2 linked regions of the Caenorhabditis elegans genome follow. The protein of the gene in region 1 purifies or fractionates together with the protein of each later gene. This does not show direct contact. Each region holds a gene or a part of one and is shown on either strand. Other genes may lie near its edges.

What was found. The genes of interacting proteins can lie anywhere in the genome.
Region 2: the proteins of fbf-2 (region 1) and ccf-1 purify together in Caenorhabditis elegans (affinity purification with western blotting; 2 studies listed by BioGRID, with this or other methods). This does not show direct contact.

What each region holds. Positions count from the first base shown.
Region 1 is NC_003280.10:6,088,345-6,093,370, forward strand, and holds fbf-2 (Fem-3 mRNA-binding factor 2), read right to left. Parts: upstream 3,137-5,026; 5' UTR 3,029-3,136; coding exon 2,987-3,028; intron 2,939-2,986; coding exon 2,705-2,938; intron 2,657-2,704; coding exon 2,481-2,656; intron 2,429-2,480; coding exon 2,176-2,428; intron 2,133-2,175; coding exon 1,519-2,132; intron 1,468-1,518; coding exon 1,339-1,467; intron 1,293-1,338; coding exon 1,089-1,292; intron 1,045-1,088; coding exon 798-1,044; 3' UTR 519-797; downstream 1-518. Other genes in the region: nspg-3 (DUF19 domain-containing protein), read left to right, coding at 3,476-3,738, 3,858-4,012, 4,056-4,152, 4,201-4,411; tpp-2 (Tripeptidyl-peptidase 2), read right to left, coding at 4,536-5,026. UniProt on the Caenorhabditis elegans protein: RNA-binding protein that binds to the consensus sequence 5'-UGUGCCAUA-3' in mRNA 3'-UTRs. Involved in the control of stem cells and sex determination in the C.elegans hermaphrodite germline.
Region 2 is NC_003281.10:11,918,328-11,922,139, forward strand, and holds ccf-1 (CCR4-NOT transcription complex subunit 7), read right to left. Parts: upstream 1,911-3,812; 5' UTR 1,894-1,910; coding exon 1,765-1,893; intron 1,718-1,764; coding exon 1,433-1,717; intron 1,381-1,432; coding exon 862-1,380; 3' UTR 501-861; downstream 1-500. Other genes in the region: znf-593 (Zinc finger protein 593 homolog), read right to left, coding at 261-386; trap-4 (Translocon-associated protein subunit delta), read left to right, coding at 2,414-2,459, 2,594-2,922, 2,975-3,079; Y56A3A.22 (DUF1279 domain-containing protein), read left to right, coding at 3,370-3,812. UniProt on the Caenorhabditis elegans protein: Catalytic component of the CCR4-NOT complex which is one of the major cellular mRNA deadenylases and is linked to various cellular processes including bulk mRNA degradation, miRNA-mediated repression, translational repression during translational initiation and general transcription regulation.

The DNA of each region.
Region 1 (5,026 bases):
ATCATTGCTGGGTCTTGGTCTTGCCACTTGGTTTGGAATCGAATTCAACGCTGCAACAACACAAATTGTGTCAGGAAGTACGAATTTATCTTGACAATTTTAATTTGAAAGTATTTTTGTTTCAGAGTTCTAGCCGAAGAACATTTTCTCGATGTTGGATAACAATGAGAGGATTGCCACCACCTATACGAGGACCACATGAGAGAAGGACCGCCAATGTTCGCGGAGTTCTTCCTCATCCCCAGTATCCAATTTTTGTTTTTCTATTTTCTGAGAGTCCCATTATTTTGAAATCGATGCAATTGTAAGATAAATTTCAATATGATAATTGAACTATATTTATTCTTCATGGTTTCTAATTTGATTAAATTTACAAAGTCAACATTTGTCGGTTATCAGTTTTTTGTTCTCCGAGCAAAGAACAACTTTTCTCTTCGCTTTCAAAATTGTTTTCTGAGCAGGCATTGTATGGAAGCAGGAAGCTCTCGGTGGAAGCATGACAAAGACTCGAACGATATTTTGCCAAGTTGTCTAATTTTATCTGGATTCATTAAAATCGAAAATAAAAAATTAACAAAAACAATGAACAGTAAACAGAAAGAAACAATAACACAACTGCATAAAAAGCAATAAAATAACAAAAAAGAAAAGAAAAAACAAAACTGGGCAATGATAAGAGTGGGGAAGGCACAACATCGATCTTAAAATCGAAACGAAATCATTGCACCAGTTTAAAATATTACAAAACAACAGAACATAAGTGGGTGGGATGAGATTTATGGTGAGAAAGTTCCACCTTAATCATCGCCGTGACTACCGGAAGAAGAAAATTTGACAGAGACTGAAGACTTATTGCTCCGTGGCTCTAGCATCAGGCTTCCTTCCTCGATCCCATTCTTCTCCAACTCCGGACCATCGTGCTCGGAAGCAGTACTGAAGTAATCCGTCTTGAATGAATCGTGTCCCGAAGATTGGAGTTCATAAATCGGATGAGTTGAACGGAGATTGGCAAGCGTCTCGATCATCTTTTTGCCGGATGAGAACCTGAATTTCGAATTTCAAAATATTATTGTGACAATAGTGATAACCTTGACAAGCGATGCCTTTCTTTCGTAACTCTCGAGTGCAACTTTTTCAGCCAATCCTGGAATGAGATTGCATGGTCATAGCCTCCTTCTTTCGTTTGCCGTCTTCCAGACACAGCATCACAGCAAATAGTCAGCATGCATTGAACGACGTAGTTTCCGAATTGATGGAACATCATGATATCGAGGGCATCTTTTCCCGTGTCCCTGAAAAAACATTTCATTTTTATGTGACTGAAACTAATGTTTTTACGGATGTGGAATGTATCCGTCGAAAATCTCGTCCATCATTTCGGCAAGAAGTTCCAATGGTGCATGTAGGAATGCTTTCTCAACAACATGAGAAGCAAACTTTTCCTGGGACAACGAAAGAAGGTTGCGCCTGAAATATTGATGATTAAAAATCAAGTAGATATTAAACAATAACACTCACATGAGGCATTTCTCTATGATACATTCCCGATAAACGGCCAGATCATCATTGGATACAATATGCTGTATTATGTAATTGGCATACTCGTTCGTAGCTAATTCTTGGCACCGATTAGTCACAGAAGTCATGAGTCGTTGGAGCGCTCGTTCACGAAGATTTTGAGCAGCGGAAGTTAAATCAACGTTCATTGAATCAGCAGTGAGCTTTTCGATAATAGTTTGCACAACACGGCACCCATACTTATCAGAACAAATCTGACGGAGGTGCTCTGGGGTGGCAACGAAATCCACAATAAACTCCCAATTCTTCAGTGGGATGACTGCTACGACTTTCTGAATGACGTGATTGGCATTTTGATCAACACAGATTGCGATAAGACGAGCATCACGAGGTAGAGCTTGAACAAGTTTACACGCAAGGGATAAATCCATGTTCTGGAGACTGGATTGGATAACACGACACGCAAATTTGTCCAAGCACATATCTGTCATTTGGGAACTGATGAAGTTCTTCAACTTTTCTTGTCGCTTTGTGTATCCGTCATCATTAGTTGCCAATGAAATTCCAATAACGCTTTGTACCAAATAATTTCCAAAGATGTTCGTGCTCAATTTCTGAAAAGAAAAGTCATGTGTGCTCGCAGAAACTAAAACTTACAAGGAAATCATCTTTTCTCCCAATAACTTGTTCAAACAATTGGAACTTCTGATAAGATGTCAGGCTGCCCTTCACTGCCTTTTCTAGGAACTGGCACCCAGTTTTGTCAACGGCAAACTTCATTAAATCGCCACTATCCAAAACTTCAGAGAGCGACAATCTTGAACGCATTTCACCATTGGAATCCAAGGACCAGGTTGGCAGCACATTGTTTGATCTTGTGAATGATCTAGAGTTCCTCGACAGAGCGGGTCTATAAATAAAAAAGAATAAATACTAGAGGATAGTGATAAATTAATTCGAACCTCGAATATTTCAAATGGTAGTGTTTTGAAGAACCATAGCTCTTGCTACGATCAATATCCGCAGAGAAACATCGGACATTTTGTGAAAAATCATCCGACTCGAGACGCGAGGAATCCGTATCAGACTGAATGAATGATGAAGTTCGGCTACGCGAGACCGGCATGAACACATTGGGCTGCAAATCAGTAATGAAAACAACCAAAAATTGCCTACTCTAACTTACAAAGCTCTGAAAACTCCGAAGGCTCATCAAATCAGTTAGCGGGGTTGGTGGCCGCGATGTAACAATGTGATTCTGTTGATGGCGAGCATAATTAATCCCATCGTTCATATTGAGCATTGAGAAATACGGGTTGAGAGAGTTGAAGTCCCACATAGGTGTCTCATGCTGCGCCATTGGTGATTGTGCGGGAGTCGGATAACTGTCAATCCCTGTAGAAGGAGGCTTCTGGGAAGTCTGTAAAACTTAGGCCATTTGTTTCTTTAGAAGTTACTGAAAACTTACTTTTCTGAACTGATTCGTTCTGCGCATCTTTGATTGGTCCATGTCGATTAGTTGATAATTTTATTAGAATGATTACTCATAGAAAAATTATCAATTCACAGAAAATAGGAATGGGAATATGAAAATAATATTTAAAATCGAATTCGCAAATGACGAAAGTGTGTCACATACTCTGGTGTTTGCGTACTTTGTCATTGTCTACCGTAACCAAATTGAAATTTTCAAATAATGCGAGATTCTAATCACATGTTTCAAGAATTAAAAAGTGTATTTAAAATAATTATCAATTTGATTACTAATGATTACTAGAAACAATAAAAATTTTTGGAAAATTCCGGGACCGTAACATATCAAATTGATAAACACATTTCAACCTCCCGAAAAGCTATAAACCGGTCGACTGACGGTGACGACATTTTACGAGCTATTCTGTTTCAGACTAAACACTTTAAATTGCTCGAAACACAAAATTTTCTTTCCCTATATTTGATGATTTGGAATATTCTCGTTGTTGTGGTTACGATCGTTACTAAATCGCTAGAGACACTCGAAGTTGATTTAGCAGGTCTAGTGAAGCAAACCGTAGCGGGAAACGAAGGAGTGCTGCATAACTGCAGTTCTGATCAAGATCAAGTGCTACAACAATGTTATATAGATATGTTTCAATCATATGGTTCAAATGTGACTAGCCTTCCCCCAGCAGACGAAGATCCATTTAAGAAAATTCGGTACGATGCCACTGGAATGTGTAGGTATGTGAAGGTATTACAACATTGCAACACCTTTTAAATTGTAAAATTATTGAAGAATTTCAATAGAACCGGTTTTACATGCTAGAATAAATATTTTTAAAAAAGACGAATAATTACAGTACATATACAACTCTACGTCACTGTCATAGTGACGTCATCAATGATTGTCTCAACTATAACACTTTCAATGCAATTTTTGGTTCAGAAAGCAATGCAGCTTATTACATCTCACAAACGGGGTTTCTTGAATTCTATTGTAATTATGGAAATGATTGTGAGGTTTTTCATTCTCGTTCATTGTTTTATAAATATTTCAGTTGTGGCATATTATGAATGTATGCAAGCAATCAGTTTGAATGATCTCTCTGACACGATTTATACTGAATGTTCCGTTTTGGAAGTTGGCAGTTGCGAGTGAGTCTAATAGTTTCAGACTTATTGAGATTAGTTTTTAATTTTGAGCTCCGTATCACGAACCACACAATGTGAGCGAGCAGTAGTGAGAAAATCATGTGGAAATAGTGCTGTCAAATCATACTGCCAATATCAGAAGATTCTCACCCACATGACTGGGTGGAACTTCTGTGAGTACATGCCATGCATCAATTCGTCGCAACCTCGAACATTCTTCTTCTTAATAATTTTAATGTATCTCTGCAAAATTTTTGTTTGATCTCATTTATAAAACAATAAAAGTTTATCTATTCAAATGGGAAAATCATTTGATTCACAACGGAAATGGAAGCAAAAAAGCTTCCAGAAAAAAGAAACCCGCGAAATTTCTTATGATACACTAATTAGAAAAGACGGTAGGAGGTTCTGTTTTTGATCAGAGCCGAATTTTTAAAGTGAGTAGCAAGATGATTCCACTCGAGACTTTCGCAGACTTCAGCCAATGATGTATCAACAGCTTGCGAATCAGTAGCAGACGACTTCAGTTCATCTCCAGCTTTGTTGAGAAGCTTTGCACATCTTCCAAATTGTCCAAGAGCAGCTGCATGTTTGGCAGAGATCAGTGCAGTTTTAGTATCATCAGCAGACAACCAAACGAGAAGCTTGACGTAAAACTGATTTCCAGTCCAATTACTATCCAACTTTTTCAGTTCTTCAGAGACAGTTGCATCAATTTGTTCAGATTTTGATTTCAGTGCTTCATAACCTTCAGACTTCTTATTGATCACTTCTCCTTGCTTTCCACCGAAAATTAGAGGAGTGATTCCTCCGAAACGAAGACTTGCTGGAACGTCGAACTTGCTCTTACGAACTTCAATATCCTGCTCCAATGATG
Region 2 (3,812 bases), on another chromosome or scaffold:
TCGAAAAAAGAGAATAAAATGAATAAAAACGAAACTTTGTTAGAGGGCGGAGACACACCGCAATGCCGCGGCACGCAGTTTTGCAACTTCACCGCACAGTTTTATTTTACGAGTTTTTAGCATTTTTTCCAGCAAAATTTGATTATTTGCCAGATTTCCTGATAAAATTAACGCGAAATTGTAGAAAAGCAGTTAAAATACAACCGTGCGGCAGTGTTGCGAATTCTAAGGGTTTATTTCGAGTAATAAATCTGAAAAACCTCTTGCTGGAGAAGCTTGGCGGCCTTTTCAGGCTTCAAATCCTCATGGATTTGATCCAAATCCTTTCCGGGACGTTTACGTGTCTTGTTCGAAATCGTGTGCTTCCTCTGTCCACCGCTCGGCATTTTTTGCTGAAATACTACTTTTGTTAAGCTTTGAATCTAGACAAAACAGCTGAAAAAGATAATTTCAGGCTCAAAAACCCTTATTTTAGTTGAAAATTTAAAGTTTCCGCGAGTAGATTTCGAAAATTTTTATTTTTTTGGGCATAGGGGAGGGAAAATGAAAATAAAAAGATACACGGGGCGCCCGATCTCGCCCAGCTTCTACTGCTGCTGAAAATTACAAATAAAAAAGATCGAACTTTCAGAGTAATGATCACCTATAAACAACTAAGCGTATAGTCATCAAGTATAGGGAGATATAATAACAAAGACAAATTATAGGGCGCGTGAAAACACAAAAAACTTGGGTGAGAGATGGGGAAGGGCACGAAACAGACAGCTAATTTACAATAACAGTGTAGACGGTTTTTGGTGGAAAAAGGAAGAAAAAAATAAAAGAAATAGACACATGAAAAATGACGGGAAAGAGATCTGTTCAGGCTTGTTGTGGAACTCCGATTAGGCCTTGTGGTGTCTCATCGCCTAGTCGAGAAGTTGATCCGGAGCTATGGAACAGCGAAAGCGAAGATCCAAGACCAAACATATGTCCACAGATCAATGGAGCAATCTGGTTCCAGTTGTCTCCGAAAAACTGCTTTTTGATCTTGAAAAACGTGGCGGCGGTCAGCAGTGCGTCGGATCCAGCTTGATGGCGAACTCCTTGTCGTTTCACGTCCAGCTGATCGGCGACCTCTTGAAGTCCTCCTTTCAGCTTTGCAGACGCGCAATTTGGAGTTCGGAGCAGGATTTTGATGTCGAAGCTGGTTGGGAAGAGAGTTTTGTGGCACATGAAGAACGTTGACTCTTCCTTAGGCAGATCTCCAAGTGTGATGCTTTTCAACAAATATCCAAAGTCGTAGCCGGAAGAGAACGTGAGCCATGTGATCCGTGGATCAGTGATGAGGCCTGACGTCGTCAAAAGTTCTCCGAATACTGCTGTCGGTATTCCATTGTTCTGGAAGAAAGAAATTATTATTAAAATATTGGAAAATCAATATTAAAAAAACCTGCAGCAATGTGAAGTCTATTCCGGCTTGCCGGAGCATTTCGACACTCTCATGCGAGAACATGTCTTCAGCGAAGGAGAAATTGAAATTGAACTGCCAAACATCGCCAGTCGGTGGTAGCTCTCCTTTGTCATTGACCATTGCAAAGCCCACTTGTATTAATTTCAGCATATTCACATTACAGAACACTTGCTGATAATTGAAATCTTCCTTGCTTCGAAATGTGCCCAACGGTGTCGCCACAACTCCGGGAAATTCTGTGTCCATTGCCACGTAGGGATAATCCTGAAAAAAAACCGATTTTTTAAAAATATTCAAACGATCGGCTGTACCTCGACGAATCCTCGAATCCTCGCGAATTCCTCCTCCACGTTTGACATATATACGTTGTGAATCTTGACTTCTGGTGCTCCACTTGCTCCACCTGCTCCACCTGCTCCACCACTGCTACTAGAAGCCATTTTTATGATATCTGGAACTAGAATTTTCGTTTTAGAGTGAACGCTTTTATTTTCGATTTTTTTAAACGAATTTATGGGACAGAAATCGAAAATAGCTTATAAAATAAATAAAATAATTTTTCCGCAAACTTTTAAAGCAGAAAAACGGGAGAAAAAGTCAGTTTGCAAAAGTTTTGAAGCGCAAAAGAAGTTCTTGAACGATCGATTTTGGATCGGCATTAAAGGCGCATGGAGTTTCCCAGCGGTGTGGGTCTCGCAGCGAACGGGAGAGAACTGCAAACTGGCTAGCTGCCAAGTGAGTTTGTTTTACGTGAAACTGTCGAGAAAACATCGTTTTAGTGAATTAAAATGTGTTTTTAATGAATTTTTCACTTATTTTCTTGATTTTTACCCTAAAAACATGAATTTTGTGCGTTAAAATGATGCAAATTCGAGTAAAATACGTATAGAATGCCTATTTTACTCATTTTACAAGATAATTCTTCAAAACACGAATTTAATTACTTTTTTGCAGGTAATAATGCTGAAGATCGCCGTCGCCCTTTGCCTTGTCGCTTCCGCTCTTTGTAAGTTGGAAAAATTAATAAATTCCCACACAAATTATTCAAATGTGTGGCTTGTATAAAAATAAGGCTCGATTTTTCGAATTTTAAGCGTAGATTGTTAACATTTAATACAAATAAAACAATAAATATTCCAGGCGCCAAGTGCGAGTCGCCAAAGTACTCGGCCTCGTCATTCTCCACTACCGACGGATTCTTCCACTACAAAACCACCTTCATCACCGAGTTCACACTTCAATGCAGCAACAACCCGAAGAATATCCAATACACTGCTGAAGTAAACGGTCGCCTTATCCCAGTCTCGATTTCCGACGAGACCGCCAAGTTCCAAGTCTCATGGACTCTTGAGCACAAGGACGCCGGAGCTCAAACCTTTAATATTAACATTTTCGACGAGGAGGGAGCCGCTCAATACGCCAAGAACCCTGTCACCAAGCCACTCTTCACCGTTCAACAAAGCCATGGGGTGAGAATTGCATCATTTTCACATAATTATCTTTAAAAATCATTTTTTGCAGGGTCTCGCCACGAAGTCTCCAATCTCTTCCGAGACTGTCGCCGTCATCATCGTCGTCATTGGCCTTTACTACGCCATTCGTCAAAAGACCGAACTTGTCCACTAAATATCATTGTTTTTATCCCCAAATTACTGGTCAACGCACGTTTGCGTGCTGGGTTTTTGTTCTTTTTGTTTTTATTTATATATACAAAATGTAATTTATTGATTTTTGCCCCTTTTTCCACCCCATTCGTGTATTTATAAGTTCAGTAGCCCCCAAATAGCCATAAATTGAAATTTAATTGCTAGACTGACGTAAAAAAAAGTTTAAAGAGTTGAGAGTGTAAATCCCCGGGAAACTTACTTTAGATAATTTTAAGACCCCCTTTAGGCCAAAATTTTCATTCAGGCAAAATGCTTTTGGCTCGATCCATAATCCGATGCTCGCGGAGCATCTGTTGTGCTCAATTCCAGACCCCATCAAGCTCACGATTCCTGCACACAAGTCGACAACTCCACGAGAAAGAGCCCACTCCGAAGAAGCCAGACGATCAAAAATGGAAAATGTTCAGAATGACAATGTCTGAGGAGCAAAAACTCGCAAAAACGGCGAAAATCGAGCAAATGAAGGCGGAAGAAGCGCCGAAAACGTTGTTCGCAAAAGTGAAATATTATTTTAAAAGATATTGGTATATCGCTGTGCCGGCTCACGCGGCATCGTGTACAGCATGGTTTATCGCATTGTATTTGGTGGTTAAAAGTGGAGTTGATGTGATTTCATTGCTCGAATGGCTTCATATGCCGGATGCTATCGTTGAAAAGGTCAAAAATACGCCCGAAACCGCCGGAGTTGTGGT